Linked DNA regions of Saccharomyces cerevisiae S288C. The gene in region 1 interacts genetically with each later gene. Each region holds a gene or a part of one and is shown in the gene's direction. Other genes may lie near its edges.

Evidence for each region.
Region 2: mutations in GAS5 (region 1) and ECM4 together harm fitness more than expected from each alone (negative genetic interaction), as found in Saccharomyces cerevisiae (one large-scale study listed by BioGRID).
Region 3: mutations in GAS5 (region 1) and NDL1 together harm fitness more than expected from each alone (negative genetic interaction), as found in Saccharomyces cerevisiae (one large-scale study listed by BioGRID).
Region 4: mutations in GAS5 (region 1) and URA4 together harm fitness more than expected from each alone (negative genetic interaction), as found in Saccharomyces cerevisiae (one large-scale study listed by BioGRID).

The regions. Positions count from the first base shown.
Region 1 is NC_001147.6:265,384-273,918, forward strand, and holds GAS5 (1,3-beta-glucanosyltransferase), read left to right. Parts: upstream 1-2,803; coding exon 2,804-4,258; downstream 4,259-8,535. Other genes in the region: OPI10 (Opi10p), read left to right, coding at 46-786; SIL1 (Sil1p), read right to left, coding at 881-2,146; YOL029C (uncharacterized protein), read right to left, coding at 4,432-5,037; YAP7 (Yap7p), read right to left, coding at 5,250-5,987; ribosome-binding protein MDM38, read right to left, coding at 6,620-8,341. UniProt on the Saccharomyces cerevisiae protein: Splits internally a 1,3-beta-glucan molecule and transfers the newly generated reducing end (the donor) to the non-reducing end of another 1,3-beta-glucan molecule (the acceptor) forming a 1,3-beta linkage, resulting in the elongation of 1,3-beta-glucan chains in the cell wall.
Region 2 is NC_001143.9:575,767-583,895, forward strand, and holds ECM4 (S-glutathionyl-(chloro)hydroquinone reductase), read left to right. Parts: upstream 1-6,516; coding exon 6,517-7,629; downstream 7,630-8,129. Other genes in the region: electron carrier DRE2, read right to left, coding at 1-214; phosphopantothenoylcysteine decarboxylase complex subunit SIS2, read right to left, coding at 669-2,357; YKR073C (uncharacterized protein), read right to left, coding at 2,421-2,741; AIM29 (Aim29p), read left to right, coding at 3,443-3,910; YKR075C (uncharacterized protein), read right to left, coding at 4,061-4,984; MSA2 (Msa2p), read left to right, coding at 7,887-8,129. UniProt on the Saccharomyces cerevisiae protein: Active as '1-Cys' thiol transferase against beta-hydroxyethyl disulfide (HED), as dehydroascorbate reductase and as dimethylarsinic acid reductase, while not active against the standard GST substrate 1-chloro-2,4-dinitrobenzene (CDNB).
Region 3 is NC_001144.5:641,924-649,549, reverse strand, and holds NDL1 (Ndl1p), read left to right. Parts: upstream 1-4,576; coding exon 4,577-5,146; downstream 5,147-7,626. Other genes in the region: HAP1 (Hap1p), read right to left, coding at 1-3,135; YLR255C (uncharacterized protein), read left to right, coding at 3,597-3,950; CQD2 (Cqd2p), read right to left, coding at 5,214-6,923; SYM1 (ethanol metabolism protein), read right to left, coding at 7,493-7,626. UniProt on the Saccharomyces cerevisiae protein: Required for nuclear migration to the bud neck during cell division.
Region 4 is NC_001144.5:960,015-968,214, forward strand, and holds URA4 (dihydroorotase), read left to right. Parts: upstream 1-3,770; coding exon 3,771-4,865; downstream 4,866-8,200. Other genes in the region: YLR419W (RNA helicase), read left to right, coding at 1-2,721; proteasome regulatory particle lid subunit RPN13, read right to left, coding at 5,076-5,546; guanine nucleotide exchange factor DCK1, read left to right, coding at 5,883-8,200. UniProt on the Saccharomyces cerevisiae protein: Catalyzes the conversion of ureidosuccinic acid (USA) to dihydroorotate, the third step of the de novo pyrimidine biosynthetic pathway.

The DNA.
Region 1 (8,535 bases):
ATTCGGAGATTGATAAGAAATATTTGAGTGAGAGAAAATAAAGAAATGTTTGCTGCAATTGCCTCAGGAAATCCATTGCAACTATCGGTAGAAGTCCCCAATTCAAATGGGTTACAGCATACAATTGTCCTTTCTCGAACGAAACCGAAACTATACTCGCATATAACACTGTTTATATTACCTAATGTTACCTTTCCTCAGGATTATATAGCTACAGTCTATTTCAAACTTAGCCCTCAGGAAGAATTTAAACTATTTGGGTACCTAAGCAGTGAGAAACCCAGTGCCATATTCAAAGTGCAAATACCGAGCTCGAAGAAAGACGCTGGAGATACAAGTGATGGATTAGGTGAGATAGACATGGATGTAGATGATGGTTCGGGGGCCGCTGATCCGTTTACTGACACCAATGGAAGTAGCAGTAATAACATATCAGAATTGATTATTGGTATTTCCATTGAGCCTCGAGAACAAGGAATGATGAAATTAGAAGAGTGGAAGGCCAGCATGAATGCCGAAGCACAAAAGAACAACTCATTGATCTTGTCAAGACCTAACTTAGGAATAATTCGAAATATTACCACGGCAGGGCAGTTGGCACAAGTTTACCCTTCATTGACACAAGAATTGGCCGCCAAAATCGTTCAGCATGCATATAACTATTTATCAGGGTTCCTAGATGCTCAGGGAAACGTGCCCATCAAGAGGTTTGATACATGGTGGGACAAATTTAGAAATAGACTGGCCAACGACGGGACGTTTTTGGATGAAGTAACTAAAAATTAGACACGGATATATAATATATCTCTAATAAGATTCACGAAATATTAATTGAAAAAAATATTATTAATATTAAACTATATATGCAATGACAGTGAAATCAGAGTTCATCTCTGAAATTTTTTATTCTATGAGCCATGGGGTTGCCAAAGATCAAGTGTCTGCTGTCGATAAGTTTCTTATCAAATGAGTCTTGTTCAGTATCTCTCTCTTGGAGCCCATTGTCCAAGTTAGATTGCCTGGCTTTACATTGTTGCGCTAACCAATTCAAAAACCCTTTGTTGATCGTGATGTCACTTTTGAAAATTTTCTTCAAGTTGTAAAGGGTGTCAAAAAACGTTCTTGTATGTAGTTCATCTATACTTTTGTTCTGGACCATCTCTTGGAACTCGTTTGCCCACTCTTGCAGATTTGACGACCAATTCTCAGCATTTCTTTTGAACAAAATTAGATTTGTATCGTCATTTTCGTACATGTCGGCCTTCAAAATTTTGCTGATCAACTCCAGGACTTTTATTTGTAACTGTTTGTCCTTGTTGTTTCTTTCATATACATTTTGTAAAACAACCGTAGAGTATATAGGAAGATCTTCGGATGTGACAGGTAATTCGTTTAAAATGGACAAGTATCTTTTTATTAGGATATTAGAGGATCTGTGGTTAGAATCATTCAAATTTGACAGAGCGGCCATGATTTTGCTTTTAAAATTTGGAAAACTTTCATTAATGAACTCGACTACAGGAGGATTGTTTCTCAAGCAGCTGGTAATGACTCTAGTACTGAGCTCTCTCAATGTTAACGGCAAATTTTCATTGAGACTAAGGTTGGCCAAGAGGGCGAATTCATGGGTAATAATTTTGTAGCCGTGCTTGTAATCATGCGCAAATTCCATTATTCTATCAAAACTATCCTCCAATCTGGCAATGTCCTGTGAAGATAAAGTCGGGTTAGAATCTATGATGTTTCTCATTTCTTTGAAATCACTGGAAAATTCATAGTCACCAGGCGATGCTTTCATGTCTTCTGAAGATACAATTAACTCATGGCTACCATTATCACCGACATTCTTCTCATCATTTAGTTTTGCCTCTTTTAAACCTGTGTCCATGTTTATTCTAATGTCCAAACCACCGGGGAGTTCTTGACCTGGCAGTATGGGCTGCCAATCGTGTCTTGGTTCAAATATCTTAGGATAGCAACGATTATCAACGCAGATCGAATTCCCTGAAATTTCAAGTTCTTTAAGATCTTCTGCAGATATGATTTCGCCTCCAGATGGCACTGAGTGTATGGATGAATGCAATATTGTACTCGCCACTAATTTCGAAGATAGGGCGCTCAAAATTATGGGAAGAATCCGGACCATTCTAAGTTTGCGTTCTTGGAAGTGATATTCAATATCGAGAACTTCCAGCGATGCGAAAACTAGTCTATTATAGTTGCTAATGTGTGCTCTATCATTTACGTGGCCTTTTCACATAGTCTGGTCTTTCTTAATTATCACAATTCCGTTACCCGAAATCTAATCTCGTGTTTAGCTTCGATCTGCGGACGTTACTTCTAACGTCCAGAACACTTCACCCGCTATTTACGTTTTGATCTAGTTGCGGCCTCCAAACCTGCAGATGAATCGTTCATTACATTCTTGCTGCCACTAGTTGGCCGCTGCGTATACAACAAGAAATATACTATGCATTTATGTAACGCGCTTTAGTCAGTAGCCTCAGTAATGCCTTTTCTAAGGTCAGTATGTCAATATCTCTCGGGTGAACCCCAACATTGTTGTTCTTTCTTCGTTGTTTCTCTCTCTTATCATCTTCTGTGTCTTTGCTTTCTTTTGTTCACAATTTCTCGAGAAAAAAAACTCCGCAGGAAATTTTTCACTTTTATTTTGCTTATACTATAAATAGGAAGGTCCCTGAACTGATTTGTTGACAGTGTTGCATTTCGTATATAAAAGTAAACAGTGGGCTGTAACAAACATATTATATATCACTCGCTACACACACAGCTCTAAATAGCTATGTTACTACGTTCTCTTACAAGTGCCTTCGTTTTAAGTGCTGGTTTGGCTCAGGCTGCTAGCAGCAGTAACAGTTCCACACCATCCATTGAAATTAAAGGCAATGCATTTTTTAATTCGGAATCAGGTGAAAGGTTTTATATCCGTGGTGTTGATTACCAGCCTGGTGGTTCTTCTAACTTGACTGATCCCTTAGCAGACGCATCTGTCTGTGACAGAGACGTCCCCGTTCTGAAAGATCTAGGGATAAATACTGTCAGAGTTTATACTGTGGATAACTCGCAAGATCATTCCCATTGTATGAAACTATTGCAGGAGAACGGTATATACTTGATCCTGGATGTCAATACCCCCACGAGTGCTATTTCTCGTTACGATCCAGCCTGCTCCTATAACGCTGACTACTTACAAAATGTCTTTGCCACCATTGATACCTTTGCTGATTACGACAATGTTCTAGGTTTTTTCGCTGGTAACGAGGTCATCAATAGTGTTAATACTACCAACACTGCTACTTATGTCAAGGCAGTGGTCAGGGACATGAAGAAATACATCAAGGCTAGAAAATACAGACAAATTCCGGTAGGTTACTCGGCTGCTGATATCGTCGCTAACAGACAATTGGCTGCTGAATACTTTAACTGTGGTGATGAAGCTGACGCTAGAATCGACATGTTTGGTGTTAATGACTATTCTTGGTGTGGTGAATCTTCATTTGTGGTATCGGGTTATTCCACCAAGATGAAGCTATATCAAGATTACTCCGTTCCTGTCTTCTTAAGTGAATTTGGTTGTAACCAAGTCAAGAGCTCTCGTCCATTCACAGAAATTGAAGCTATCTATTCCACTCAAATGTCTTCTGTATTCTCCGGTGGGCTAGTCTACGAATATTCCAATGAAACTAACAATTACGGGCTCGTTCAAATTGATGGTGACAAGGTCACTAAATTGACAGATTTTGAAAACTTGAAAAATGAATACAGCAAAGTATCCAACCCAGAAGGCAATGGTGGTTACAGTACTTCCAACAACTATTCTACATGTCCTGATTATGAAAAGGGTGTCTGGGAAGCTAATAACACTTTGCCTGCTATGCCAAGTGCTGCTTCTGCTTACTTCACATCTGGAGCAGGTTCTCCTATGGGAACCGGAATCGCCACCCAACAAAGTTGTGATGCTAAGGACGATGACGACGAAGAAGACGACGACACCTCCTCTTCATCCTCTTCTTCCTCTTCATCTTCATCTTCCGCTTCTTCATCTTCTGAATCATCATCCTCGACTTCAAAGGCATCTTCCTCCTCCCCTTCTGCTAGCGAAACGAGCTTGCTAAAATCTGCCGCATCTGCTACTTCGTCCAGCCAATCGTCCTCGAAATCAAAGGGTGCTGCCGGAATTATTGAGATTCCTTTGATATTCCGTGCTTTGGCAGAACTTTATAACTTGGTTTTATGAGTTTTCACCCCCGTTCTTTACCACATTGTTTCTAATTATTCCGTTAGCGCCGCTTACTTTTAATGTTCTTAAGATAAAAAAACATCATTAATATTATTATTAAAAAATTCATATATATACCTATATCTATATGCACTATTTATGCTTCCACTTTTCTTTTCTTTCTAAATACATCATTCCAAGACGTTTTTGTCCATCTTATGTAATGCATCCTTGATGCTTTGCAATTCTACTTTCTGTCCACGAACGTGCAATCCAGATGCAATGTTCTCTAACGCTGATGAGATCGAAGTTGAATCCTCAGGATTTAGTTGTTCTTGGATACTTTTATTTTTTTGCATATGTTGACGGATTTTTTGATATGTGTAACTGATCGGCAGATACCTCTTTGCATCGGAAGCCGCATTCATTTGTGCATTCTTGCAGGAACATATTTCGGGTAGCTTGATTGAATTGTAATTTACGTCAGTTTGTTGTTCATTTAGATCCGGTGACAACGCACTGTTGGAAGAGAAAGAGCTTGAACTACATTTATTCGAAAGTGATTGACAAAAATTCCTACTATGGGGGTCTGATCTACATTGCTTGCAGCTTCCAGGTATCCATGACCCATCCTCTTTAGTGATCGGTCTATTCTCGCTATCGTAGATTTCTTTGTCTCCACAGCATTTCGATATTGATTTCTTAGCATCGGATTCTATTTTCTTTTCTGAACAGCAAACGGGGACTAAGGATGGCATTATGTTATTCTTTTGGTTGCAACATGTTACTGGTTTCATGGCATCTTTATTCCTACAACATTTTATTTTTTTGTTGCCACTGCCTGCACATGCATTGATACTGCTGCTGCATGAAGACAGAGGTGAATTAATATGGCCATCAAGCGATGAATTCGTTGAACTAAACTGTCTGCCGCTCAGATATTGATAATCGTTGGCTATATCAATCTCAGACAAAGACTGGTCTGTTAATACCGCGGGCACATGAGATGTTAACAATGGGCCTTCAGCTTTCCTTTTTTTAAACTGACAGCGCCGATTGGTTTAAAGTTTTCTACCATTTCTAATATCGAAATAGGATTGTCTGGCGGGTTTTCTGGCTGCTGTTGAAATGGAGTATTAACAATCAAAGGCAAGGCTTTTTGCAATTCGTTGTTTAATGCTATTGATTTTTGCAAGTTTTCCTTTGTATCGGAAAACTCAGATTCCAGCAGTTTATATTTCCTTTGCCAATCATCGACCAAATTGTGTAGCATCTCAACCTTCTCTTCCAGAACCTGGATTCTTGTTGTTCTGCGTTCCCTATATGCTCTTTGCGCATCTCTATTTTGCCTCCTTCGCTTTTCCACGCTATCGACACCGTTTTCATCACCACTTCCGTTGCCTTCATCATCAGATTTCCCCTCATGACCTTTTGCGCCTTCGTTCTCATGATCTTTTGTGGTCATTTGGTCTTTCTGGTTGGAAGTTTGAACCTTCTTTATCTTGGACGATCCATCATTATTAGCTGATGCATCCCCGCGCTTGGATTTCGGTTTGCGGCCCGGTTTTAGGCGCTGTGGTAACTCCCAATTCTTGGATAACTTAATAGCTGACGGTCCTGATGTACTCACATTTCCATCTGGTGAGGATGGAGGTGGAGACGTCGTAGACATGGAACCCTGTTTATGCCCCAATTTGAAGCCTTTGGGCTTTACGCTAACTGCTACTACAGACCTTCGTTGTCTCATGATCCATTGAAAGTGTGCGTAAATGACAAAATTTTGTGCCTTTCTATATTCTTTAATTGATGATTTACTTCCTTGATAACGGCTCAACAAACGAAGAGCAATTTTCAAATTTCAAAAGAAAAAACCGTTGAAACTGTTCTTGAGCAACTTTCAAGCCTCTTATGATGATGTGCTACAGATTGAAGTACAGGTGAAAAGAGGAATAACCAATAGCCTTGTTTGCTTTCTACGGTGGGGCAGCGGATTTTCTCTTTTATGCTTATGCTTCTTCTTCCATATATTACTAATTTTTCTCGAGCGAGCAGCTTTACTGCGTGCATTACCGATGAAAAAAATCGCCGATATATGAAAATCCAGCTCATAAGATGCTGATTAAGGAGTCATGAGTGAAAGGACCCTCGTGGCCATCACAAAAAAGACACTTTGCTCCTGTATAAAAAAAAAAATAAGGCGGTAGTTTAGATAGGGTGTCTATTATATACATGCATAATAATTTAGTTTTGAAGGGTCGCTGGTTTTGCCGTGACGTACGCTTCTCTTTGATCTTTTGCCATTGTTGTCAGAGAAAAGAGAACCGATTGACTTTTTTTTTTTAGTTTTTTTTAGTTTTTTTCTTAGGCTTTGATCTAATATCAATCTTTCTTAATGACAAAAGTCTTCGCAGCTTGATCGGCCGGAATGGGAGGTACAGATTTTGCTTCTTCCTCTTCATCTAGGTTGATATCATCTGGCACATGCTCTCTCGAAGCTCTTTGCTTAGCTTCCTCTTCCTCCTTCTTTATTAGTTCTTCTTGCTCCTTCAAAACGTTCAATTTGAACTCGTTATCGTCGGATGTCTTCTTTTCTTCAGCTTCCGTGGCTTCCGCAGAGTCGGTAGGCTCTGCGTTCTCTTTTTCCTGAGATATTTCCTCTGTCTTCGCTGTTTCTGCCTTTTCATTAACTACGACTAGTTTAGGAGTAACCGCAGAAGCGGTGGTAGCTATAACAGACTCTTTTGCGGTGGCTTCTTCCTTCGGTATAGCAGTTTCCTCGGGTTTTTCTTCCGTCTTTATCTTCTTTTCAGCAACTTGCTTTTCAGCTTCAGTTTCAGCAGCGGATGATTTCGATTCAGATACATCTAGTTTTGCGACGTTGTAAACGGGATCTGGAATGGAACTTAGCACTTGTAATATACCGTCGTAGTACAGATCCAAAAGGTCGTCATATTTGCTTTTTGTTTCTTTTTTTTCAGCTAGTGGCGAGAATGCCTTTGAATAGTTCTCCTTTGGAAGTCCTCCAAACGTGAACGTGGAACTCAAAACCATCAAGACGGATGGGATTTTTTGTCTCAGTCTCAATTCTAGCCAAACTTTTAGATTATCGACCAAGTCCTCCTTGGATACACCGTACGCTTTCATACCACGAGACACACAAGCTTGATACAGCTCTTCTTGCGATAAACTTTCAACGCCTTCGTAGTCAATAGTTTTATCGTCGTTCATTATATCCTTTAGTTTGGAACGAATTTGGTAACGAAGCATGTTATCGTTACCAAATGGCCTTAGTGACATAAACTTCGACATTGCTGCCAATTGTGGTCTTGACAAGTTATCCAAAACGCTATCGTTTTTGAACATTTGCGCAATGGCGCTTATTTCATCGTGTTGGAAAGTCATAATCTTACCTTCCTTGGCAGAATAAAGCTTCCGGAAAAAATTCAAAAATTTTTGCTTCTTCTCTGCATTTTCAATGGTGTTGTAAGTGATCAAATTGGATTCTTCCAAAGTCTCATGCAAGAATTCGGATGTCTTTTTTCTGATCTCGATGAGCTTATTTCTCTTGGCTTGCTTATCCTTGCCGGATTCGTAAGTGGAGGGTAGTAAGTTGGGGAAGAGTTTCAAAGCGAAAGGCAAAAATAGTTCGGCGAATGGAATAATAAGGAACGCTGAAAAAGGGATCAACCTAAACACATCGCCCATTGTCCTCCTCAATTGGTTCCTCTCTCTTCTAGACAACTCGTAACCCTGAGCAAATTTAATCAAAAGCTTAGTAGAAACTTTGATTTCGTAACCCAAAAGTTTCGTCCCATTAGCATAATGTTTCAAGGCGTGCTTCACTTTGACCATAAGCGTCTCCTTGGGCTTGGCAGGAGCATCGGTGGATGTTGGAGCTACGGGCTTCGTAACACTTTTCGACTTATCAGTAGAATAAAATCTCAAAGATAAAGGATAGTTGGGCTGTACTCCTTGCGCTCTCAAAGGCCAATGACACGAGGGAATAGTGGAAGCTATTAATCTAGGGCCTTGATTTTTAACAAAATACAAGCTTGCTTGACGTCTTGTCACACATGACGCTCTTGATGCGAAATTCAACATCTTAGTATATTATCTGTAGTGATAGAGATAGCGTATATTATGCGCTGCCTGAAATGCACTGCGCTGTTCATATTCATCACCGTGGCAATGACTGATCCATTTATTTGGAGATGATTCAACGAATAATTTTTCACCGCGGGATTATCGCCCAAGACGGGGTCGTTTGAGGGTAATACCGTGGCTAGCTTTATGGC
Region 2 (8,129 bases), on another chromosome or scaffold:
TAATATCAGTCTGGGCTTCTGGCGTCAAATAGTGTACTGTTTCATATTTTGCGTTTTCCAAAGTTATGGACCCATCATTTAGTTTATTGATTAAAAACTGGTCCACGAACTTGACTTTCTTTGATGCAGCTTGAGCCTTAGTGTTCTCTACTAGCTCTGGCGTTGTAGTCACCGCCGGATGTATTAAAAGTAAACCAGTTTTGTATTGTGACATCGATACCTTCACTTACAGTGTATATGCTTAGATCAAATGTGATGAAAGACTTCTGCTTAGAATACCTTTTTAATATGTCATGAAATTAAATGATTACTAATCATTTCTTTTTTTTATTTTTTTTTTCCAGAAGCTTTTGAATAGTATCGGACTTATTCCGGTACCGGGATATGTCAAAAAAAGAAAAATGAGAAACGAATAGATATTTACCCAGAAAGTAATGAATGTATTTAATGAATTACTGAATTATTAAAATTAGTAATAAATAGCGGTTTATATGAAGAGCTCTATGTACGCTAGTATGGCATTACATACCTACTGCAAGTAAAAAAGGAAAAAAATTTGTGACATTTTGTAAATATGCTGCGTGAATTTGCCTAATGAGTATTTTTCCAGAAATTACAAAACACAAATAAGTAGAATGTGTTTAGTGTATTTGTAATTCATAGACTATTTATTGATGCTTATCTATTATACCTGGGGTTTCTGCTTCGTCCTCGTCCTCGTCATCATCGTCGTCGTCGTCGTCGTCGTCGTCGTCGTCGTCGTCGTCATCGTCGTCATCGTCATCATCATCGTTGTTGTTTTCGTTCTTATCTTCTGTATCTTCTTCTTCGTCGTCGTCTTCTTCCTCATCCTCATCATCGTCCTCTTCCTCGTTATTTTTTGGGTACCCACCCAATTTCATAACGATTTTGTTAACAATCTCATTCCAGTCCATCATACCCCCGAGACCAATATCACCATTTATATCCATAACTTTCTCAGACGGCTTGAAAACAGTGACCCAGGACATTTCCTCCTTTATCGTTTGTAGTTGCTTCTTTGTCATCATAGAATTAAAAGTGCTACTCACCATAGAAGGTGCCAAAAGAATGGGATAACTCGGATTCCAAGCTCTAATGACACTTGTCAGAAGATTGTCGCACAGGCCCAAAGCAATTTTTGATAATGTGTTTGCAGTTAATGGAGCTACTACCAGTATATCCGCCCAGCGACGTAGTTCTATATGAAGTACAGGATCAGTTCGTTGTTTCCATGCGTCCCATTCATCTTGGTCGGTCCATAGTTGAATATGTGGGGGTAACTCGACTACTTGAGCCATGTTGCATTGTCCTGGTGTTGGTGTCACTGGAGTTGCCGGAGTGGATTCGTACTGCGACATTTTATTTAGTTTTTCTGAAGATTTGATAATTTTCTTGGTATATCTTTGTTCGAAAAACTGTGTTGCTGATTGAGTGAGGATAACTTGAATGCTTATTCTATCACGTCCATATATTTCTTCTAGTTTTTTAATCATTGGCTTGATCTTAAATACCGATAACGAACCTGTAGCGCCAAACAACACGTGCAATTTTCCATCATCTTGAGGTAGTCTGGGATCCAAATTCTTGGAGTTCTCTCTTTTGGGGATGATGGAAGGAATGACGGACTGCTTCACTGGCGTTTCTTCCGGGGTAGAACGCACATTAATTTGGCCTGAAACATTGTTAGCTTGATCTTGTGCATCTTCCTTTCGAAGTGTAATACTGGTGGGGGCTTTGGCGGTTACCTTATTATTTTCTCTACTTATTGGCGTTGAAGTGGCCATGATTTTGTCAGGCTTCATGGTATCAACTATTTTAAGAGCACTGTCTTTTTTCTTAGGATCATAATCTTTCATTTCGTTGACGAGTGGAGACCCAGATAATTGCGTTGTTCTTGAAGTGTTGGTGTGGTTCGGTATAACTGCATGATTGCCAGGAATGGAATTTGAGACAGGAGCAGGATTACTATTTGGAGACTTGGTCCTTTCTGAGTCGTTCTTCAGCTGAGTCAGACTATCCTGCTTTTGCTGTTGCTTTAGATCACTGAAAGTGACGGCGGGGACTCTCTTCAAACCAGGCTCCGGAGTATTACTTACTACTGCGCCGGAGGTGCCGGTGGCATTCATAATAGATTTCGTAGTCGTGGTAGTAGCATTCGACAAAGTAGGGCTTATTGATTGCCTCCCTGACACGGGGGAGTTGATTATTGAATCCTTCCCCTTCGCATCCTCATGGTCCAACAAAATCTCTTTCTGTCCACGCGAAAACCTTGGACACTCTATAGACTGGTTATGGTCAGCATCTTGCTTCCCGCTAGTAGAGGCGACGGCAGTCATTGCTGTTTGCTTCTAGATCTTTCTTCCCTATTAATTTTTTCCTAACTAATATTTCTTTATATTTTATCCCGGAATATAAAGTAGTATGACAGCAAAGAAGGCCAGGCTAAAAAAAGATCTCTCCAAATGTAACTGGACGGCGCTGATAAGTGGACAAGTACAAGTGAGGGATCGTGATCCAAGAGCACTCTGTGACTTCTTCTCCTCTAATATCACCTCCCCAGAAAAGCATCGATGCCATTTTTTGCAAGAGAAAAAGTTGCGTGCGTCACTGCCCACGAGCACATGGGGTGAGTTATATAACATAAGAATATTGCTTTGACTCATGTTAAAAGCAAAAGAAAAAATAATAATGATCATTAGAGATACATCAAAGACGATCATGGCATTAACCCAGGGTACGTGTGTTAGATATGATAGGGTACCCCGCGCGTATAAGTTACGCCTTGAATGATATAACACGTTAAAGTTTCTAGATCACGTGAATCATTACCATTTTTTAGGTCATCCTACGGATAATGGCGAAACCACATAATTGCTTTGTAGATCTCTTTTTATGCTGGATGGATGGCCCTCTGGAATGCATCCTTCACGAACACAATTTATGAAACCTCAGGTTTGATGCTCCGGAAAGCCTATTTCTCACGTTTTCCGGCACTTAATGCGCATATAAAAACATAGTCTCTACGTTACGAGGATTTATCATAGAACCCAAATCAGCAGTAATAAATTTCCACGGTCAAATTAAACTCTTGTCGTTGATATGGGTGTAGTGTGATGGTGGTGACCACTATTTCGCCTTTATTAGTTATTTATATGAGTTAGCCCTCCGAAGAACTCATCCTTGTTAGCTCAGTTGGTAGAGCGTTCGGCTTTTAAGCGCATTTGCTTAAGCAAGGATACCGAAATGTCAGGGGTTCGAGCCCCCTATGAGGAGTTCTTTACTTTTTTAGATTCGGCGTTCAATGCTAAAGAAAAAAAATGAAAATAAGTTTCAATTAATAGTGAAAGAAAAGGAAGGAAGTTAGAACTGAAATGCGTAGACTACCTCCCCCAAATTTTTTCTTGTTTGGTTGCATTATTTCATGAATTCAACTAAAAGGCTGAAAATGTCAACAACCTTTCATGATTATGACTTGGAAGAGCCATTAACCTCAAATGCCAGACCACTAAAGAACTCCGTTATTACAATCCGAGTAATAAAATCTTTCCCATATAGAAACGTCAAGAACATAGTGCTGCACGATTACGATCTTGCTGATAAAACTGCAAAGGACCTGTTCAATGACGTTTTGAACAAAATTCAAAATGAAGGTTCATTCAGACCATTCCGTAATGTTAAGTTTGATACTTTAAAGATATACACGCACGCACATGGTTCCAAGACGGTTAATCTCGTGATCAATTTTGACCACGATGACGACTGGACTTTAGACATAGAGAATGACAAAAAAAAGCTGTTCGAGTATGGCATTGAGAATGAAACCGAAATTTCGCTTTTCAACAAAGAGGATTACCTAAGGTTTAAAGAAAACCCTGAAGAAAAATGGTGAGATGTTGTTTGGCTTATGGCCTTCATTAATAAGTAAGTGCTATGAATATATTACATATATATATATATATATGTTGTGTACGAGAGTATACTCGTATGTAAATTAACATCAAATGTGTATGTGGAAATGCAGAAGAGAGCAAACTCTCCTTTAAAAAACAACCTGGTTCCTATAAAAAATGTCTTCTTCCATAGTGCCAAATGTATAGTTGCTGAACTCATAATGAGCTTCTTTTATTGTTTCATCAGAATGAGAACTATTTTGATGGTGATGGTGATGATGGCGACGATGGTGACGGCGATGGTGGCGGGAATGTTGGATATCGTTTATGTTGATGAGGGATTCGCGGATAGTCCCCTTTGAGTCGATCTCCCTCTTCATCACGGCTTGGTTAAACTTCAACTTCCTGGGGAATTGTTCCTTCTTTTCGTTCATAAGGTCTTCAGAATCTTCATCTATGGAGGAAATTTTAGTGCATGTAGAATGCTGGTCGAAAATGGAAGACGTGTGAGAATCAACAGACGATGGGCATGAAATGTCTTCTAATTTCACCAAAGCGTTGTCATTGCTCTCTATAGAAGCGTTAATCTCATCCACCTCCTCGGTTACCCAGCATTCCGTATTTTTCTTTAAAGCAGATTTTAGATTTTTTGTTTGTTTCTGGTCAATTTGGTTCTGGACCGGCGATATTTCGTTTTCATTACTATCTATGTTAGTCAAATCTGGACCGTACAACACCGTTACATCGGTTTCTTTGTTCCAGTTGATGGACAGTGGATTGGATTTGGAGTTCTGTAAACCATAGTGATTTATGGACCAACGCCTCCAGAGGCAATGATGTAGCCTAACGAGGTACATGTTGTAATCTAGCACGTCCTCTGAAGAGCAACTTGGTAATCGAAGTAGTTTATGTTTGCGCATCTTCAATAGTAGTGTCCATGAAGCCGATATTTCCAAGCTTGCATCATTAAATTCATGATGGAAATAGTCAATCGCAGGCTTGTTGTAGTTGGTCATGTTATCCAGTAACATTATATTCTGGTACGAAATTATTGTATCGTCCAAACTAGTCATTTTCTGTATATGTATCTATTTGTGTGTGTATGAACACTTGTGTGTAGTATCTGAATGCGATAAGAGAAAGGGCCAAAGTTGAACTGAATGCAAAAAGTAAAACCTATAAAACCGTGTTGACCATACGCTTTCATATATATATATATATATGTTTGTTTTTGCTAAGACCCGGTAACTGTACTTTTTCTGCAGTCATCCAAGGGAAGACAAAAGAAGAAAGAAAAAACAAGATTAATGTCCCCAGGTTTTTTCTTTTCCTGGCGGAAAAAGCTCAAATCTAACATTTCCCCGCGGGGGTTTCTTTGTAAAGAGTATCGAGTCGGAAACGAAAAAAAAAAAAAGATGAGAAAATGAATTTTTCCGGTCGCCTAAAGATAGAGGTACCAGCGGAAAAAATGCAGCAAAAGCAAAATACCCCATTCAAGTTCCCCCTGTCTCGCCCCTCTCACGCTTCACTGTCCCCCGCTTTCGGTTTTTCCGGCTACGGCATTTCTGTTGAAAGTTGCCGGAAAAACCCCAAAAAGCATAAAAAAAAAGAGCGGGGGGAAGAAAAAAAGATTCCTTTCTATCTTTTCCTTCCCCGGCCTATTCGGGTACTCGCTTCCGGGTCCGCTGTCGTTTATAATGATTAGTGCAGAGAGCTTTCTTCTCTTAGTTTTTCATGTGGTAAAGGCAATGCCATTTAGAAGGATACTACGTGGGGTTCAAAACCGTGAATACGTTGTCTATCGTGTTATGTATGTTCTGAGTTTCTTTTTGTCATTCTACTAGTTTATGGACTGGGACTATGTATCTTGCAGTATGATTTCGTCAGGAAGCTTGTCATAGCAAGGCCTGAACAAATCGTACGTTAAAATAAAAATGAGCACCAATTCGAGTCACTGATGCCTACTGCTCAATCCAACCATCTAGTTCTGCAAAGATACTTACTCCGCATAATTAAAAAAATAAGGTATTTTAAAGTTGTGTAGTGACGAATGTAGTGACGCGGAAACGTTTTACTCGTCAATGGACATTTGCGAATGTGTCCGATAAATAGTTGAGGCTTTTCCTGCATTCTGTCAAGAAGGGTATGTGTATGAACATGCAAATGACACTGTAAAATGATTCATTACCCTGATTATGGAGTGATTTTCTTTCCTTTTTTTTTTTACATTTAGTTTCATTATTATGCAAATTAGAGGGTATACAGTTGAGATTTTAACACTTTGAATTAAAAAGTGTTACAGAGGAAACCGACGCAAAAGGCTTGGTGACGCAAACTTTTCCATCTTTATTTCACCTCTTCAGACGGTCCTAAGACCTTTTGAACGTATCAATATAGTTTTATCATCTGTTCTCTGTTGTTCTCCGTTACTAAGATATTAGTCAGCTCTTGAAATTTCACACCCCTATTTATTTGTCTTAGCGTCCAACCCCTCTCAACCCTTTTCCATTTCTTGTATAAAGGTAGTTAATTAGGTAACGCTGCTCTTACCATCACTACAGTGCTTACGAGAATTTACCCAAACCCTGCGCAAGATAAATAAGAAATGTCGAAACAGTGGGCGAGTGGTACAAACGGAGCTTTCAAAAGACAGGTTTCGTCCTTCAGAGAAACAATCTCTAAGCAACACCCAATTTATAAGCCAGCAAAGGGAAGATATTGGTTGTATGTTTCACTTGCATGCCCATGGGCCCATAGAACACTAATTACGAGGGCTTTGAAGGGATTAACCTCTGTTATAGGATGTAGCGTAGTCCATTGGCACCTTGACGAGAAAGGATGGAGATTTTTGGACATGGAAAAGCAATTGGAGGACAGTGAAGATTTTTTGGAACATTGGCACGATGTTGCAGGTGGTATTAGAACTGCTAAAGAGGATTCCAGCAAGAGCTTCGCCGAGATCAAGAATGACAGTCAAAGATTCATGGTTGATGCTACCAATGAGCCTCACTATGGATACAAGAGAATCAGTGACTTATATTACAAGAGCGATCCTCAATACTCGGCAAGGTTCACCGTCCCAGTCCTGTGGGACTTAGAAACCCAAACAATTGTTAACAACGAAAGTAGCGAAATTATAAGGATTTTGAACTCTAGTGCGTTCGATGAATTTGTCGACGACGATCACAAGAAAACGGACCTTGTTCCTGCTCAGTTGAAAACACAGATCGATGACTTCAATTCTTGGGTTTACGACAGCATCAACAATGGTGTATACAAGACCGGATTCGCAGAGAAAGCAGAAGTTTACGAAAGTGAAGTCAACAACGTATTTGAACATTTGGACAAAGTGGAGAAAATCCTGAGTGACAAATATTCCAAATTGAAGGCCAAATACGGTGAAGAAGATAGACAAAAAATCTTGGGTGAGTTCTTCACTGTGGGTGATCAATTAACAGAAGCTGACATTAGATTGTATACTACCGTCATAAGATTCGATCCTGTGTACGTCCAACATTTCAAATGCAATTTTACCTCTATTAGAGCCGGATATCCATTTATTCATTTGTGGGTAAGAAATTTATACTGGAATTATGATGCCTTCAGGTACACAACAGATTTTGACCATATCAAGTTACACTACACGCGTTCCCACACAAGGATCAACCCCTTGGGAATTACGCCCCTGGGACCCAAGCCAGATATTCGTCCTTTATAACAAGCTGTAATTAAATAATCAAATGTCTATAATCTCCCTGAGTTGCCTCTTTTTCTATACTCAATTGGGTAATTGACGCGAAACGCGTTAAAGTGCAAAAAAAGGCCTGGAAATTATATTTAACGCAATGAAATATTTTCATAATATGACATTCATGCACAGCTGTATTCATTCTTCTACTTTGTAGTTTGTTATTCTTCTTTATCGGTTTCGTTTTACAAAAGATTTTAGCAAGGAAGCAGTTTTTAAACCAATCAATGGTATACACAACACCGCAACAACAGCAGAGATTCAGCTCCACACCGCAATCTAGCCACACTCTTATCTTCTCGCCAATCAGAGCCCCTTCAATGCAAACGCCCTCCTCATTGGATTACCAATCACCTTCAATTGTTGTGTCATCGTCTTCAATGAAGGTTCACGGCCGGTCTTCCAGTTTCGGTAAATTTTCACTGTCTATTGGGCAAAATGGTAAGGCTACAATACTGGGGCCTATAAAC
Region 3 (7,626 bases), on another chromosome or scaffold:
AAATTGTAAAGAACGATGTCCAATGTCCAAACAAGGGTAAGACAAGATAACATTCATGTAATCGAATAGTGAATTGGTGTTTCTGATATTGTTGAAGAAAATCATGCAGTTTCTGTAGCCATCCATGGCAAAATTTAATGCCTCTTGAGCGTACTCCTTAGCTAGGATATTAGTACCAGGATCTTCACTGCCCATTGGTTCATAATGAGTAAACAAAATGTAGTTCAATAAGTACAGCAACATTCTAATTGTCATATGCTTGGAAAAGAATAGAGCTCTCGTTGTAGATTCGTGAGGAAGGTCCAATTTCTTATCTATATCACTACTAGAAGTATTTCTTCCATCAGCATACAAGTTTTGGTTATGTTGACCATGGTTTAGAATATCGGGTAGTTTCGGTAGACCGTAAATTTCATCATTATTTGAATCTACAGAACCACCTTCCGAAGTTGGTAATAACCCTTTGTTGATCAAGGAGCTCACTACATCATTGACATTCTCAGTACCATAGGTCAGATTTTTCAATAAATTAATCAATGAATCCAGTTCAAATTTTCTCACGCTTCTTGCTAAAGAAACATTCAAAATGTGATTTAATACAGCAATAATACACAAATCAATTTGGAAAAAAAGAGTAAAATTCTTCACAATGATTAACTCTTTGATATCGCGAACATAATCAATCCTTGACGCACTTGGTAGCTTTGTATCGCTGAAATCCCTCAGATTTCTTAGTAGTCGAGGGCTCCCCAGGGAAAGAGATTGGTTAACATCCATGCTAACAATGTAATACCAAATTTTCCTCCAAGTGTGTTTAAATCTTTCGATACTAACCTGATTTTCCTTCTTGTTCACAGGGTTAGAACCACTTCTTGAATCAGCACTGCCAGATCTGCTACTGCTGTTGGTAGTGGCAGCAGACATGTTGTTATTCAAAGTTGGATTGGTGCTAGGGTTTGCCTTTTTGCTCCCGTTGTTAGACACGTCCTGGCTGGTTGCTGGAATGGTAGCGTTTAATTGAGGAAAATTATCAGGGTCTCTGTGTAACCCACAACTAAAGGCCATTTGAGTAATATTGGACAATAGGATCTGGTGAGACTCGGAATCGTGACCAGGATTGGCCATGCCAGTGTTGTTGGTATTTGTCAAGGTAGTCAAATCATTAGAGGCACTTTTCATATAGAAGTTGTAAAAAATGGCAAACTGCACCGTGGTTAAATTAACGTTGTTATTGGAAATACTAGAAAGTTCATCGAATTTAATCAAGTATTTTTGACATAGCTCCAGTGCCTCGACCGGTGTCTCATGCTTTAGCAGAAGTGATTCTTCTTTAGCCATCGAGGTCAATGCAGATGCAGACATATTGCTAGATTCGTTGGGCACTAAAAATGAGCCACTTTCTTCTCCCAGGTCGACTTCGCAGGAATTAGAAGGTATGGATAGCCATGTCAATCTCAAGATTATTATCAGAATACCTAAGTTACAAGAATCGGAAAGTTTTGGAAGATTGATTTGTGTTATGGGTTGGTTCTCTAGTGTAGATGAAGATGGCATGCTCATACCAAAGTTGTTAACTGTGGGATTCATCGAAGACAACGAAAGCATTTGATTCACGTGATTTTTGAAATTCTGTTCATCTAAGATTGGAATGGCAGGGTATAAATGTTTGAAGAATTTCTCGATGAATAATGCGATGACGCGCTTTGGTGGCAACATCTCACAAAGTGTTGCGAGGACTTCAGATTCTGTCATGTAGGAATCATGTTTCCTGCTTTGTGCGGGATGCGAACGAGCATGAGATCCGGACTGTGGTTGGTGGTGTGGGATGGTATTGTGCGTTGAAGCTGGTAAGGCCGCTGTATTTTTCATGCTTGAATGGTCAATGGGGCAACGACTTGCCGGGTTCGAAGAAGAATTTGCCATGTCAGAGGGATAATCCTTCATATAGTTTCTATGGTCCACAGGACATTTTGACTGAGGCGGATTCATTGTATGCTTGTTATGGTCTATCATAGCTTTAGTGGAAAATGGGGAAGGTGTCTCGTCCTTGGGCGGCATCATTCCTGCGGAATACATGGTGTGGTCAACGGGACACCTCTTCTGGGACGAAGTGTCCTCTCTGGGAGGAATCATTCCCGAAGAGAACATGGTGTGGTCAACTGGACATTTCCTAGGAAGAGGAGTCTCCTCCTTTGGGGCCACCATGCCAGACGAAAACGCGGAGTGATCAACAGGACATTTTCTGGTAGCGGCGGCAGCGGCAGAAGGCGGCGCTTGCGCGTGATTGATGGGACATTTGCTTGACTTCAGCTTAGAGTACGAATTTTTTTGGTAGTACCATTCATTTAACTTTTCCCTCATAGCGAAGATATGACCCCACAAAAGTTTTAGGTACGGGTCACCTTTCATGATAGACAACCAGTGGGTGGCACCTAAGTGGATGGTTCCGTTACTTTTGATATGCAAAAGATCAAAGTCCTTAGTTAAGTCCAGCTCATCGTTGTCATATTTATTTGAGATAGAAAGGGACGAGGAATTCGCGTTGGCGTTCGCACTTCTGGAAAAGTCTTGTTGTTGTTCCTGTTGCTGCTGTTGCTGTTGTTGCTGATGCATATGCGAGGCAGAGGAAGCAGAGCCTGTATTTGCATTAACAAGGGTGGTGTGTTCATCGCTACCCATAAACAGGTTGCTGCTCTCGGGAGTGTTGTAACTTTTCAAGGAGTTAGACGAAGGAGAAGAGTGCACCTTAGAAAGAGTCTTTTCTAAAGATTTTACGCGCTCCCTAAGCTTCTTTAATTCGTTGTCCTTCAGCAATTCTTTCTCTGCCTCTTCTGCCCAGGTCTGTTCCATGTAGTGGCAGAGATGGGCTACCCCAGTTTTAGTGCACTGCTGGCAGTGTGGTCTGAGTTTGTCACATTTGACTTTCCTTTTCCGACAAATGGTGCAACTGAGCGGAATTCTGTTACGCTTCCTCTTGATCTTGGACGAATCTGAAGACATGTGCAAGGGTGGAGAGTTAGAGCTGGTGTTGGCACCGGGCGTAGTTGCTGTATGCATGTTAGGACTTCTTGAGACCGAAGACTGGGTCATGGATGCAATGGAAGGCACAGATGAATTATAAGGGGTATTCGACATCTAACCTATTGTTCCCTTTTTTTTTTTTTCTTTTTCTTCTATTTCCTTACCTTCTTGCCTGCGACTGGAGAAAAACTAAAAGGCCAAATTGAAAGGGAAGAAAAATTTTCTGCGAAAACAAAACAAGATGCTTTGATAAAAGGAAGTTGATGGAATGAGGTTCGATGAGATGAAATCAGATACAATTTTGTGCAATATCTTCAAACCTTAAAAGAGCACTGCAGGAACCTATTCTTTGGGAGAACAATAGCGTCTGTGTGCTTGCGGTATCTTGAGTTGTGAGTCTCAAATGTGTGCTTTGCATCTCGAAGAATAATAGAAAAAACCGAAAACCGAAAAAAATTGTGCCTCAAGAGTATATCCGATATATATGAACGCGATCGAGTTACCGGGGCCGTTGCTGGTGCCGTTGCCTGGTATTCTAAACGAGGCCGCGAGGGTGGATTTCGCCCGACGGGTGAATGGGTGTGGGTGGAACGAGGATTGTATCGTTTAGACAGCCGAATTATTACCCGGTTACTCAACAAAAAGGGGCAAGCCAGACAGGTGCAGTGGCTCAGCCGTACAGCTCGTACTGTGGTTTGCTAATGCGCTGGGCGGTTGTTGAGATAAGAAGAAGAGGGAAAGGGAAAGGAAGAAAGAGGAAGAGAGAGAGAGAGAAAGGGCACACGAAATTCAGGATACGGCGGAGGAGTTATCTTTATTTTATACGGTCTTGCCTTGTAAGGCCCTACTCAAGCGGGAACAAGAAAAACAGTTGTAGCTTCCACAAGATGTTGGCTATAGAGATTGTTCTGTGCTTAAAGGCTCGCTAATCAATATTTCTTGAAGTACGATTTCTGTGTGTATAGATTCTCCACAATTGTTTTTCTTAGTGAGGCTCCGCCACGATCGCGTCTTGCCATCATCGTCCATCCATGGAAAAGAGCTACAAAAAACGACTGCTGGTGTACATACAATGCTCTGGGTTTCGTACATTTGCTTACTAAGTGACAGAAGCGTTCATCGATCCTTCGAAAAGGGTAACAGCGGAAAAACAGGAAATATTGGCTACATACTATAACTCAACAACGTATCATGAACTATTCCGCATATTCGTAACCTTATTTGTAGCGCAGTAAAGCCGCTAAAGAGGTCTTCTCCTATCGGATCTTGCTTTTTTCTTCCTTTTTTTTTTTTTTTTACAATAGAACAATAAAAAAACTGAACGTTCTCTATATCATCTGTGACGGCAAGTATCAATTATTTTATCAATTAGTTTGCAGAATCGGGAAAATTAATAACATTAGAAATGAAAGTTTTCATACATAAATTTGCAATTAAGGATGAAAAAGAGGGATAATAAGGGCTACAACAAACCACGAACGGCCGAAAGAACAATCCTCGCAAATTTAATTGGAATATCCAAGGGACATATACGTGCAACAATTGCGACTTTCCTATGGTGCCGAATTTGGATTTGGAAACAGCTATACAGATAATCTCCTCACTGGAGACCCAGTTGAGCGAGCTTGAAGGCGCCACGAAAGAATATGAAAATGATTTGGAACAAGTAATATCAAAGTTAAAAAGCGATCTTCTTGAGAGCCAACAACAAAATAAGTGCAATAAGAAACAGATAACAGATTTAGAGATACAGGTAGATGAGTTGGAAAATGAAAATATCCAACTGAGGAATAAGATAGAGACATTACAATTGGAGAGTGACCGACGACTGGAACGCAACGTTCTACTGGAACACGAGTTACTCGACACCAAAGAGGCGCTGCAAAAGTTAAGAGTCAGCAAAGAAGAAGCCACTAGCGGTGAGACTAGAAGGAACACCAGGTCGTTACCCAGTCAAAATAAAAAAATGAAGTTGTTTAAGGATACTATCAAAGTCTCGACCACATCTTCAACCTTGTACTTGCAGAACATGGCAAAAACTAACAACGCTGCAAGAAGTCACTGTAATATTCCAAATACCCAAATAACACAATCCACTGTGATAGCAACAACGTCTTCCGTTTAATGACACATATAAAATTGTTATATATAATTTTACGTATATATTTACAAGTAGAAAGAACGCTAACGATTTAAGATGACAACCAAGTCTTCGGAATAAATTTTTTCCACCACAACACAAAATCATAAAAATACAATTGATTAATACGCCTCTCATAGACTATCCAGTTTGTCAAGTTCTCCCACATCCATTTAATAGACCACCTCGCATACTCCGAATTAATTCTTTCCACTTTTTCGTCGTAGACCGTCTTGGCGCAGTATTGCGTCATGATCAGGAAAGTCCTCTCTGGCCCGAGTGGATTCTGTAGACATTCATCAAGATGTCTGGTTAGGTCGTTAGTCTTCAATATCAAAAGCACTACACGAGGGATTCTAGACAAAATGCTCATCAAGTCGCTCAGTAACGTTCCTTCCAAGATCCCATTTGCCATGACGTCCATTTCTTCTTGTGTTCGACTCGTTGAAATGTCGTAATTCAAAGCAGCATCAATGCTACGGCCCGTAATTGCAGCCGCTAAAAGGGGAAACTGTTCGTCGGTGATGTTTGCGAATCCTTTGGCATACTTCTTCATTTTTGTCTGGTCCTTGTCGAATAGGAGCGACAACCAAAATTTGGCATAAAGTCTTCTTGTTCTCGTGCTAGGATATCTATAGAGTCCGTGGTCAAATAAAACAATTTCAAAGTTATGGTATCCATTATCTTTAGCGGGCTTAACAGATCGTATGGCCAGATTTCCTCCATGAGGATCACAATGAATACCTACATTGGGAGTAAAAATCATGTTATTGAAAATATGAGAGAGACAACTCGAAACTTCACTGCGCGAGATACCGTGACTGTCAATGTACTCCAAATCATCCAACCTTTTGCCTCCAACATATTCCATAATCAAAATTCTTTTGTGGCTTTCAATGACCTTGGGTATTTTCAATGCTGTTTGCTTCTTGAACTTACTAAAATAATGACGGGTTTTTTCTGCATTTTCAGCTTCTTTGGTAAAATTCAGTTCCACGTAGATTGAAGACTGAAGCTCATCACCAAGCCACGTTAACGGATAATCAGGGAAGAAGACATCCAGCAGTTCAAACACTGTTCTTGTCAGCATAACATCTAATGGTATAAACTCCTTCAACGATGGATGCTGACATTTGACAGCTACACTAGAACCTTTACCGTCACTATTTTTTAGTTTTGCCACATGAACCTGTGCCAAGGAAGCTACACCTATCGGGGTTTTGTTGAATTCTAAAAACATATCCTCAATGCTGGTGCCTAGATCTTCTTTAAATAACTCATCAATTTCTTCGTAGGTGGATTCGGGACAGTGGTCTTGCAACGGTATCATTGTATCCGTCCATTCTTTAGGCAACAGGTAGGTCATGGCCCCAATGTGCTGGCCTAATTTGATATATATCCCACCATTCGATCGTAGCGCATGCAACGTGATTAAGGCACACATCTTATGACATTTATTTAAGGCAACTTCTCGTTCTTTTTTGTTCTCATAGCTTTTATTTAGAGCCCTCTTGTAATGGTAGAAGCAACGAGTGGTAGCTTGTGTGACGACAGCGATTCTTTTAGTCGTCAGTGCCGTGTGCTTTACAGAATCATGAAAAGTGTCATTAAAGTTGTACAAAACTACTGCTGATGCAATAGTCCCACCCACCAGAAGAGATTTTCTTGTCCTGGGGCTTCTTTGAGGGATGCTTTTACCTGTCCTAACGTACCGACGGAATACCTCAAACGGTAGTTTGTTAAAAAAAGCTTTGGTCATCATCTACTATCAACACCGAATAAGAAACATTCAACTATAATCTTGCTCCGTTTCAGGCTCAATAAACTTTCAGACTGATTCTTTCCAGTTACGAAGGTAGGAGTACAATATGCATACATAACGCAGCGATTTACAAGATATGTTCCTCGGGTCTATGTTTTGACCTCTTTTAACGGCATATGAAAAAACCTTTGAAAAAATGAAATATTATATAAAGGTCCAGAACCCACAGTGGTACTAAAAGGCCCACTTAAGTCTCACACCTAATTAAACACCTTTGCATAAACGGTAGCTGAAGAACAACAGGCATGACCGCAATAGTGAAATGTTAGCTACTATTTCCTCTATAAAAGAAGTACGAATGTAATTAAATAAATTGTTCCTGACCAAGCACATCTGTAAAGGAAAAGCAGATTGCTAGCCAACTTTGGTGACTCAAATATTTATGAAGTTGGTCTGCTCTCTGCCGAAAGTCTATTAGGTATATGCTGTTCCAGTACCCCAAGGAACAAGGTCTGATAAATATGCTAGTTGAATTCCAAATATTTTCAAAATCAGGATTTCTTATCCAGTTATTCGACCACGGGTGGATAATGAACAGGTACCTTGTCTTTCTCCATAACCTTTGAGTTTTTATAAGATAAGTAAGTGTTCCAAAATATTGCAACGACATTAACAGCTAGTAACCTATGTTGTAAAGGAACAA
Region 4 (8,200 bases), on another chromosome or scaffold:
AAGATAATTGACAACCCTGGCCCATTAATTCCAGATTCAGATTCGAAAGGTGCAATAAACAAAAGAAACATTTCAAACGGTAAGAGAAGTATAAATAATTCTAGTTCGAGAAAATTCACAAAAACCACCATTTCTGAAGACACGCTCTCTGTCCTAAGGGAAGAGTACACAAAAAGGATCAAAAGTTCTGAATACAAAAGTATGCAGTTAGTTAGAGAACAACTGCCTGCCTGGAAGAAGCAAAAGGTTATTATAGATATCATCAATAAAAACGAAGTTGTATTGATTACTGGTGAAACAGGTTCGGGTAAATCCACTCAGGTCGTTCAGTTTATACTAGATTTCTTACAGAAGGAAAAAGGAGATTTCGGTAAGACTAAAATCGTATGTACGCAACCCAGAAGAATCTCGGCTATTGGGCTTGCTGAACGTGTTTCTGATGAACGCTGTGTAACTTGTGGGGAAGAGGTAGGTTACGTAATAAGAGGTGTCAATAAAACCAAAGCTTCCACACGTATCAAGTTCATGACCACAGGTGTTCTTGTTAGGTTGTTACAGAATGCTAGAACTATGTTAGAAAACACAATTGTTGTTATTGATGAAGTTCATGAACGTTCTATTGATACTGACTTGATAGTGACATTGATGAAAAATCTCTTACATAGAGTTCGCGGCATGAAAATTGTTTTAATGAGTGCTACTGTTAACGTTGACTTGTTCAAAAAATTCTTTCCGGGGCTAGCAACATGTCACATAGAAGGACGCACTTTCCCCATCACTGATTACTTCTTGGAAGACATTCTTAGTGACCTTGACTTCAAGATCAAGAGAGAGAAGGCTTTGTCTTATGATGATGATAGCGTTGATGAAAGAAATAATGACGACCAATATTTGAAGCCGAGAGCAGATTCTAAGTTTTTTACATCTGGGCAAATCAATTATGATTTGCTTTGTCAAGTGGTTGAATATGTACATAAACGCCTGAAAGCTGCTAATGACAACGGATCTATTATCGTTTTTTTGCCTGGTGTGGGAGAGATTAATAAGTGCTGCAATTTGCTAGCTAATAAATCAAATGAAGCAGATTTTATGGTTCTACCCTTGCACTCCGCTCTAACTCCTGAAGACCAAAAAAGGGTGTTCAAAAAATATCATGGGAAAAGGAAAGTTGTTGTATCCACAAATATTGCTGAAACATCTATTACTATAGATGACTGTGTTGCAACTATTGACACAGGCCGTGCCAAATCGATGTTCTATAATCCAAAGGATAATACTACAAAACTAATTGAGTCGTTTATTTCAAAAGCTGAAGTTAAACAACGTAGAGGTCGTGCTGGTAGAGTACGTGAAGGTTTATCTTACAAATTATTTTCTAAAAATTTATACGAAAACGACATGATATCAATGCCAATTCCAGAAATCAAAAGAATCCCGTTGGAATCCCTTTATTTATCTGTTAAGGCTATGGGTATAAAGGACGTTAAAGCGTTTTTGAGCACAGCTTTGGATGCCCCTCCTTTACCAGCTCTGCAAAAGGCAGAAAGAATATTAACAACGATAGGACTTGTTGATGAGTCCGACAAGTCACTCACACAGCTAGGTCAATTTATTAGCCTGATGCCTGTCATGGATAGTAAGCATGGTAAATTACTAATATACGGCATTCTGTTTGGCTGTACGGACATTTCTGTTTTACTTGTCTCGATACTCGGTATTGGAGTTTTGCCTTTCATCGGAGGTTTTGAAAATAGGGAAAAGATAAAAAAACTGCTATGTAAATATGAAAGTCGTGGGGATTTATTTGCAGTATTGGAAATTGTCAGAGATTACTTCAAAATCAAAGATTCGAGCATCAAAAGGAAATATTTGAGAGACAATTTACTTTCCTATAATAAAATTAATGAAATTAAGTCATCAACAGCCCAATATTATTCTATTTTGAAAGATGTAGGCTTTCTACCAATGGACTATAAAGTTGGAAGCATTTCTGATTTGAATAGGAACGAGCGAAATTTTGATATCCTAAGGGCCATTCTCACGGGTGCGTTTTATCCACACATAGCCAGGGTGCAACTACCAGATGTAAAGTATCTATCAACAAGTTCCGGTGCTGTTGAAAAAGATCCTGAAGCCAAAATGATCAAATACTGGATTCGAAGCGAAGAGTATCAGGACAAATTAGAAGAATATAAGACGAAAATTTCGCAAGAGACGCAAAAGGTTGATTTGGAAGATTTACCGTTACCTGCTACTAGGGCATTCATTCATCCAAGTTCAGTCTTATTTTCAACCAATTCAGTAAACTTGGAAGACGCTAAGTTACTCTCTGAGGTGGATGGTCCAATATCCCGTCAATCCAAAATACCAACCGTTGTAAAATACCCATTTGTTTTGTTTACCACGTCTCAAGTTACTAATAAGTTGTATTTGAGGGACTTAACCCCAACTACTACATTATCATTACTATTATTCGGAGGGGCAATCTCTTATGACATTGGAGGTACTATTCATTCACCGGGCATCGTTGTCGACAACTGGCTCCCAATTAGAACCTGGTGTAAGAATGGTGTTTTAATCAAGGAACTGAGAACACAACTTGATGAGGCCATAAGGAAAAAGTTAGAAAGTCCCGATTATGCTAAAAAATCTCAAATTGATAATTCTGGTGCTGATAAAACTCTAAAAATTGTTGAAAAAATTATAGCTTCCGAACAATAGTAATCAGTTCCTACTGTAGTCCCTGTATAATAATTATCATCTTCATTTTCGAAAAGGAATTTTTTTAACATATAGAAGTGTCAAAGTATAAAACACTAACAAAAATCTAAGAGATTATTGCGACTGCGTGTTTTTCTCTTTGCTGAATCAGGGCTAGAATCCCGTAAACTACATAGCACATTGTCTTTGCCATATTTTAAAAATTTTGTGGCGCCGTCAAAATAAAAAAAAAATACTGAAGGATGCGAGGTTCGAACTCGCGCGGACAACCGTCCAACAGATCTTAAGTCTGCCGCCTTAGACCACTCGGCCAACCCTCCGTCGATAATACAACAACAAGGAAATACAGGATACGAACACCATCCAGTTTAACTTGATTAATCTTTACGCATGCATATTGCTACATCTTTTTTATTCTGCAATATACATCTGTTTATATCTCATTAATGTTGGTAAGCCTCTGAAAAATTTATCAAATACTAGTACAATTGTTTACCAACATCATTTTCGTTGCTAGAAAATTACTATACACCGTTAAGAAAAGACATAAATCATGAGACTAATAGAACAACACTAGGGATTAGCCAATTTAATGGGAGCTGAAATGCAGGGATTAATTATGCAATTACAAAATGAATGGTATCGTTTGAAATGAAAGAAGAAACACTAATATTATAACATAGAAATATCGATTTCTTCCTGCGAATTCCCATGTCCTCGTTGAGAACTTCTAATATGTTTTGTATGCCTAATATTATAGCTTTACAAAAAAATAGAATCTCAACAATTATCCCACAATTCACTCATGTCATGCTGCCTCTCGCGTATTTTTTCTTGAAACCGATGCTAGTTTAGTTGTCTTTCGGCATCAGCTCTAATTTTTTCAAGAATAGTATCTACAGAGTCAAATTTCATCATTCGGAGAATTCCGATGAATCGGCATCGTCAGAGAAGCTATATAAGAAGAGATAAACACATTTGAAAGATAGGATATACTTTGAAAGTGTTCTGGTGACCACTATATCACTTAAGTAATACCTAACAAAGCAATGGTACAAGAAATCGATTTAGGTTTGACATGTGATATGCATGTTCATGTAAGAGAGGGTGCGATGTGTGAACTAGTCACCCCCAAGATTAGAGATGGTGGGGTTTCAATTGCTTACATCATGCCAAATTTACAACCTCCAATTACCACACTAGATAGAGTGATTGAATACAAAAAGACACTGCAGAAACTAGCTCCTAAAACTACCTTCTTAATGAGTTTTTATCTTTCAAAAGACTTAACTCCAGATTTAATTCATGAAGCTGCCCAACAACATGCCATTCGTGGAGTAAAGTGTTATCCAGCGGGAGTAACAACAAATTCGGCTGCTGGGGTGGATCCAAATGACTTCAGCGCATTTTACCCAATTTTCAAGGCTATGCAAGAAGAGAACCTGGTATTAAATTTGCATGGGGAAAAACCTTCTGTCCATGATGGAGACAAAGAACCTATTCATGTATTGAATGCAGAGGAAGCCTTTTTGCCAGCCTTGAAAAAATTGCATAATGATTTCCCAAACCTGAAAATAATTCTGGAACACTGCACTAGCGAGTCGGCAATAAAGACAATCGAGGATATAAATAAGAACGTGAAGAAAGCCACTGACGTAAAGGTTGCTGCCACATTAACGGCTCATCACTTATTTTTAACAATTGATGATTGGGCCGGAAATCCGGTAAATTTTTGCAAACCTGTTGCGAAACTTCCAAATGACAAAAAGGCTCTAGTCAAAGCTGCTGTATCAGGGAAACCATATTTTTTCTTTGGATCTGATTCAGCACCTCATCCTGTACAAAATAAGGCCAATTACGAGGGTGTTTGCGCAGGAGTTTACTCACAATCTTTTGCGATCCCTTATATCGCCCAAGTTTTTGAAGAGCAAAATGCCTTGGAGAACTTAAAGGGCTTTGTTTCCGACTTCGGAATTTCCTTTTATGAGGTTAAAGATAGCGAAGTGGCTTCTTCAGATAAGGCAATATTATTCAAAAAAGAACAAGTTATCCCTCAGGTTATCAGCGATGGCAAAGACATAAGCATCATCCCATTTAAAGCAGGTGATAAACTAAGTTGGTCGGTGAGATGGGAACCTCGTTAATATGCAACAATATGTAGGCTCATTTGAGAGTATAGACCATATATACATATTTATGGGAAAAATAAACTTACCTTCCAATAGAAGTTATAGATGCCATCATCATGCCTATTGTTATGGTCCGTATCTCTTTACAGAAGTTCACAGCCAAATGCGTTGATATGGTATATTTTTTCTCTTCAGTTTTTTATCAAAAAATGCCACAACCTTGATTTAATCTTGCATACTAACATCCACATCTTGAGCTTTTTGCTTTTCGTCATTGCTTTCTTCCTCATCACTTTCACTACTATTATTCAGCACTCCAATCATCTTATTGTAAATTTCTTTATCTTTCGCACTCAATTCATTTAAGGGCAAATTACCTGAGTTCTTCTCTTGCAGCCAAAAGAAGTACCTTTCGTTGGATGAAAAAACTAAAGCAAATATTCTGCCACTTTTACTGGATTTTATTGGAACCCACATGGTCTCTCCAGGAATTAAAATCAAAGAAATAGGATCAAGTTCCCTCCCGACCGGCTTTTCCGTTGGACGCCACTCGAAATCCCAAAATCCCAATTCTTCCTCTTCATTTGGTTTGATCTCGATTTCACCCTGAACTGGAATTGGCGTACATAGACGTGAATCTTCGTTGTATTCACAAACACCAGCCCTGAATTTAATTACAGTTGAACTCATACTCATCAACACTCTTTTAAAATTTATAAGTCAACCAGCACTTAGGTAGTTTTCTGGCACCCTTATAGAACCTAATCTACTGGTCATAGTAGAGTATTTAGTAGCAAAGCTTTCGCCACCTCGCGAATAATATATCACGAAATACGGAGGAATTTTAACTGAAATATATCAATAACGCATATCAAGGAGGGGATGACTTGATGAGTTGAAAATAATATAAATGGTTCAAGCAACCGTTTGTACACCACTCAGTCAATTATTGCTTCAATTGAAATTATAGAGGACCGAAGATTAGTCATATAAAACAGGGGTCTTTTTTTCTTTAGGGAGATTACTATTACAATGTCGCAACAGGATTCACAGCGCTGGCTGCCCACGGATCGGCTAATATATGGTGTGCTAGTCAAATCTTTCCTTCCCTTACAAAGGTATCCTGAGCTGGTATATGAAAACAGCAATTATGCGAACGTTTATGTGGGTGCAGAAGTTTACGTCTTCGAAGAATCTGTGGATAAGAAATGGTGTAGAGCGTACCAATGTTTACGACCCTTTCCTGAAGAATTCATATCGAATATGAACTCGGCGAATGATGTACTGCCAGACGTGAAACCGAAAGTAGTGATATTTCCTAGAAAATATGTTCATTTTGAAGCAGAAAAAGCCGTCAGCACAATGCCATTTTTCAAAGCACCTAGTGCTGAGGATTTTAAACCATTGATAAGTAAAGAATGTGAGTCCCGCTCCTTTTGTGACAGCCTATATGTTAGCTCTACTGATGATATATCAACTGGTAAACCAAGAAAGACACCGAGACCTCCGTTCCCCTTTTTCAGATACCAAAAGAGGTCCTTTAAGGACGAAATGGGTCCTATATTATCTCTTATTTCCTCGCATGTTTACTCTATGTATTCAATTGGCGAGTTTTCTATATATAGGAAAATGATAAAACTTTATTATGATTTGGACACTATACGATTTAGATTGTCTATGAATTTAACCACAGAGGCTGAGAAAATAAATCTGATAAGAGCAGCAACATCCCTAAGAACTAAAATCGCAAAATTTTTGTCCTCCACATACAGGAAGAATAAACTAATTGCTAACTCTACTCCAAGAAACCCAGATCCTTATGGTTTCGAAGGAATTTTTGCCAGGGATATTGATACTGGCGAATTGCTCTCATACGAGATCGACAAATTAAGAACTTTAGTGTCATCGTCAATGCTTTGTGGTTTAACTAATAATTTTCCTACTGTACCTGTGGTAGAGTCCGATGATGAGTCCTCATCTAACGGACTATTCGGCACAGTTAGATCGAGCATTTTGGTTAACTTGAAAGATCTGGCATGGGATCCCTCTATATCAGATCCTAAATATCAAGATCTTTCTATTTGTGTATACTTGAGAACCAAAGACGAAGTTTTAACAGAGTCTTTTACCATGACGAAGTCGTCCAATATGGAATCAGCTCTAGATGAAATTCCTGCAATGTTATTCAAGAATATTTTGGAAACGATAGTCCATAAAAATAAAGTATACTTAGTAGTAGTGCTGAAGGAAACAATAGCAATTACAACAGAAACTGCTCCGGAAATTTCATCTTACAATATATCTACCGAAGAGTCAAGTTCACATTCCCCATTTTCTCCATTTAATTCATCGACTGAGAATAAGATTGACCACGTAAAAAAGGGCTTAGCTGCCGGAGTTATTAACATATCTCCGGTATTCAAGTTTTATAACGGCCTATCAGTTGCGAATAAAGCTCAGAGGTTTAACCTTTATCTTTATAGCTCCGATTCCTCGGATTCGCAAAACTTCAACTCTTCAAAGGATGCGGATTTAGGTTGGGGCGGGTTAATAAATAAGATAATAAAAGATTCTTCTGAAGGCGTTTCTGTGAACCCTAGGGCTGTTTCTTTATCGGTAACTGTAAAGGAAATTATAGGCAAACAAGAGGCGGAAAAAGTGCTCTCCACATCTTTAGTACCGATAAGATCTATTCCCACATACTTTTATGATACCATGTTTAGCCAAGCAGAAAGAATTTATCTGAACTTAGGTAGGGTGTCGCTTTATGGACTTCCTGCAGCTGATACAAATATAGAAAATGTTACCGTTCAAATATCCTGCAGGAATAAGGCCGTAAAATTTTGCAAAAATAAGCTCGAAGAGAGATCTGGGGACTGGAAGTTTGTTTCAGTTCGTCCAAATGAGAGCATAGGCGAATCGATTAGAATAGAAGGGGTAGAGAACATGAACGAAGACGAGACATTAAGAGTATTGGTATATTTGAATGGATTTTTGATGGCAAAATCAAATATACATATCAAGAAAAAGAACGAAATCATAGAATATAGAAAGGGTACCGTATTCCAAATAATGTCATCCAAATCAGTACCTCTAATTCATTTAGAGCTTGAAGCATCATATTTTGGTCGGAGATATAATATCAACCCTGCCATTACAAATTTCTTAGTTCTTCAAACCAAAAATGTTGAATTCGACCAGCAACTTAAAGAGCACTATTCAGTTACATTGAAGCAGCTGAATAACGTTTCTTTTAAAGATTTACTAAAGCATTTTGACACAATTTTAGCACACTATTTGTTACTTCTTGAATCGGTGAATGAAGCTACTGATAAAAAAGGCCCTTCTTC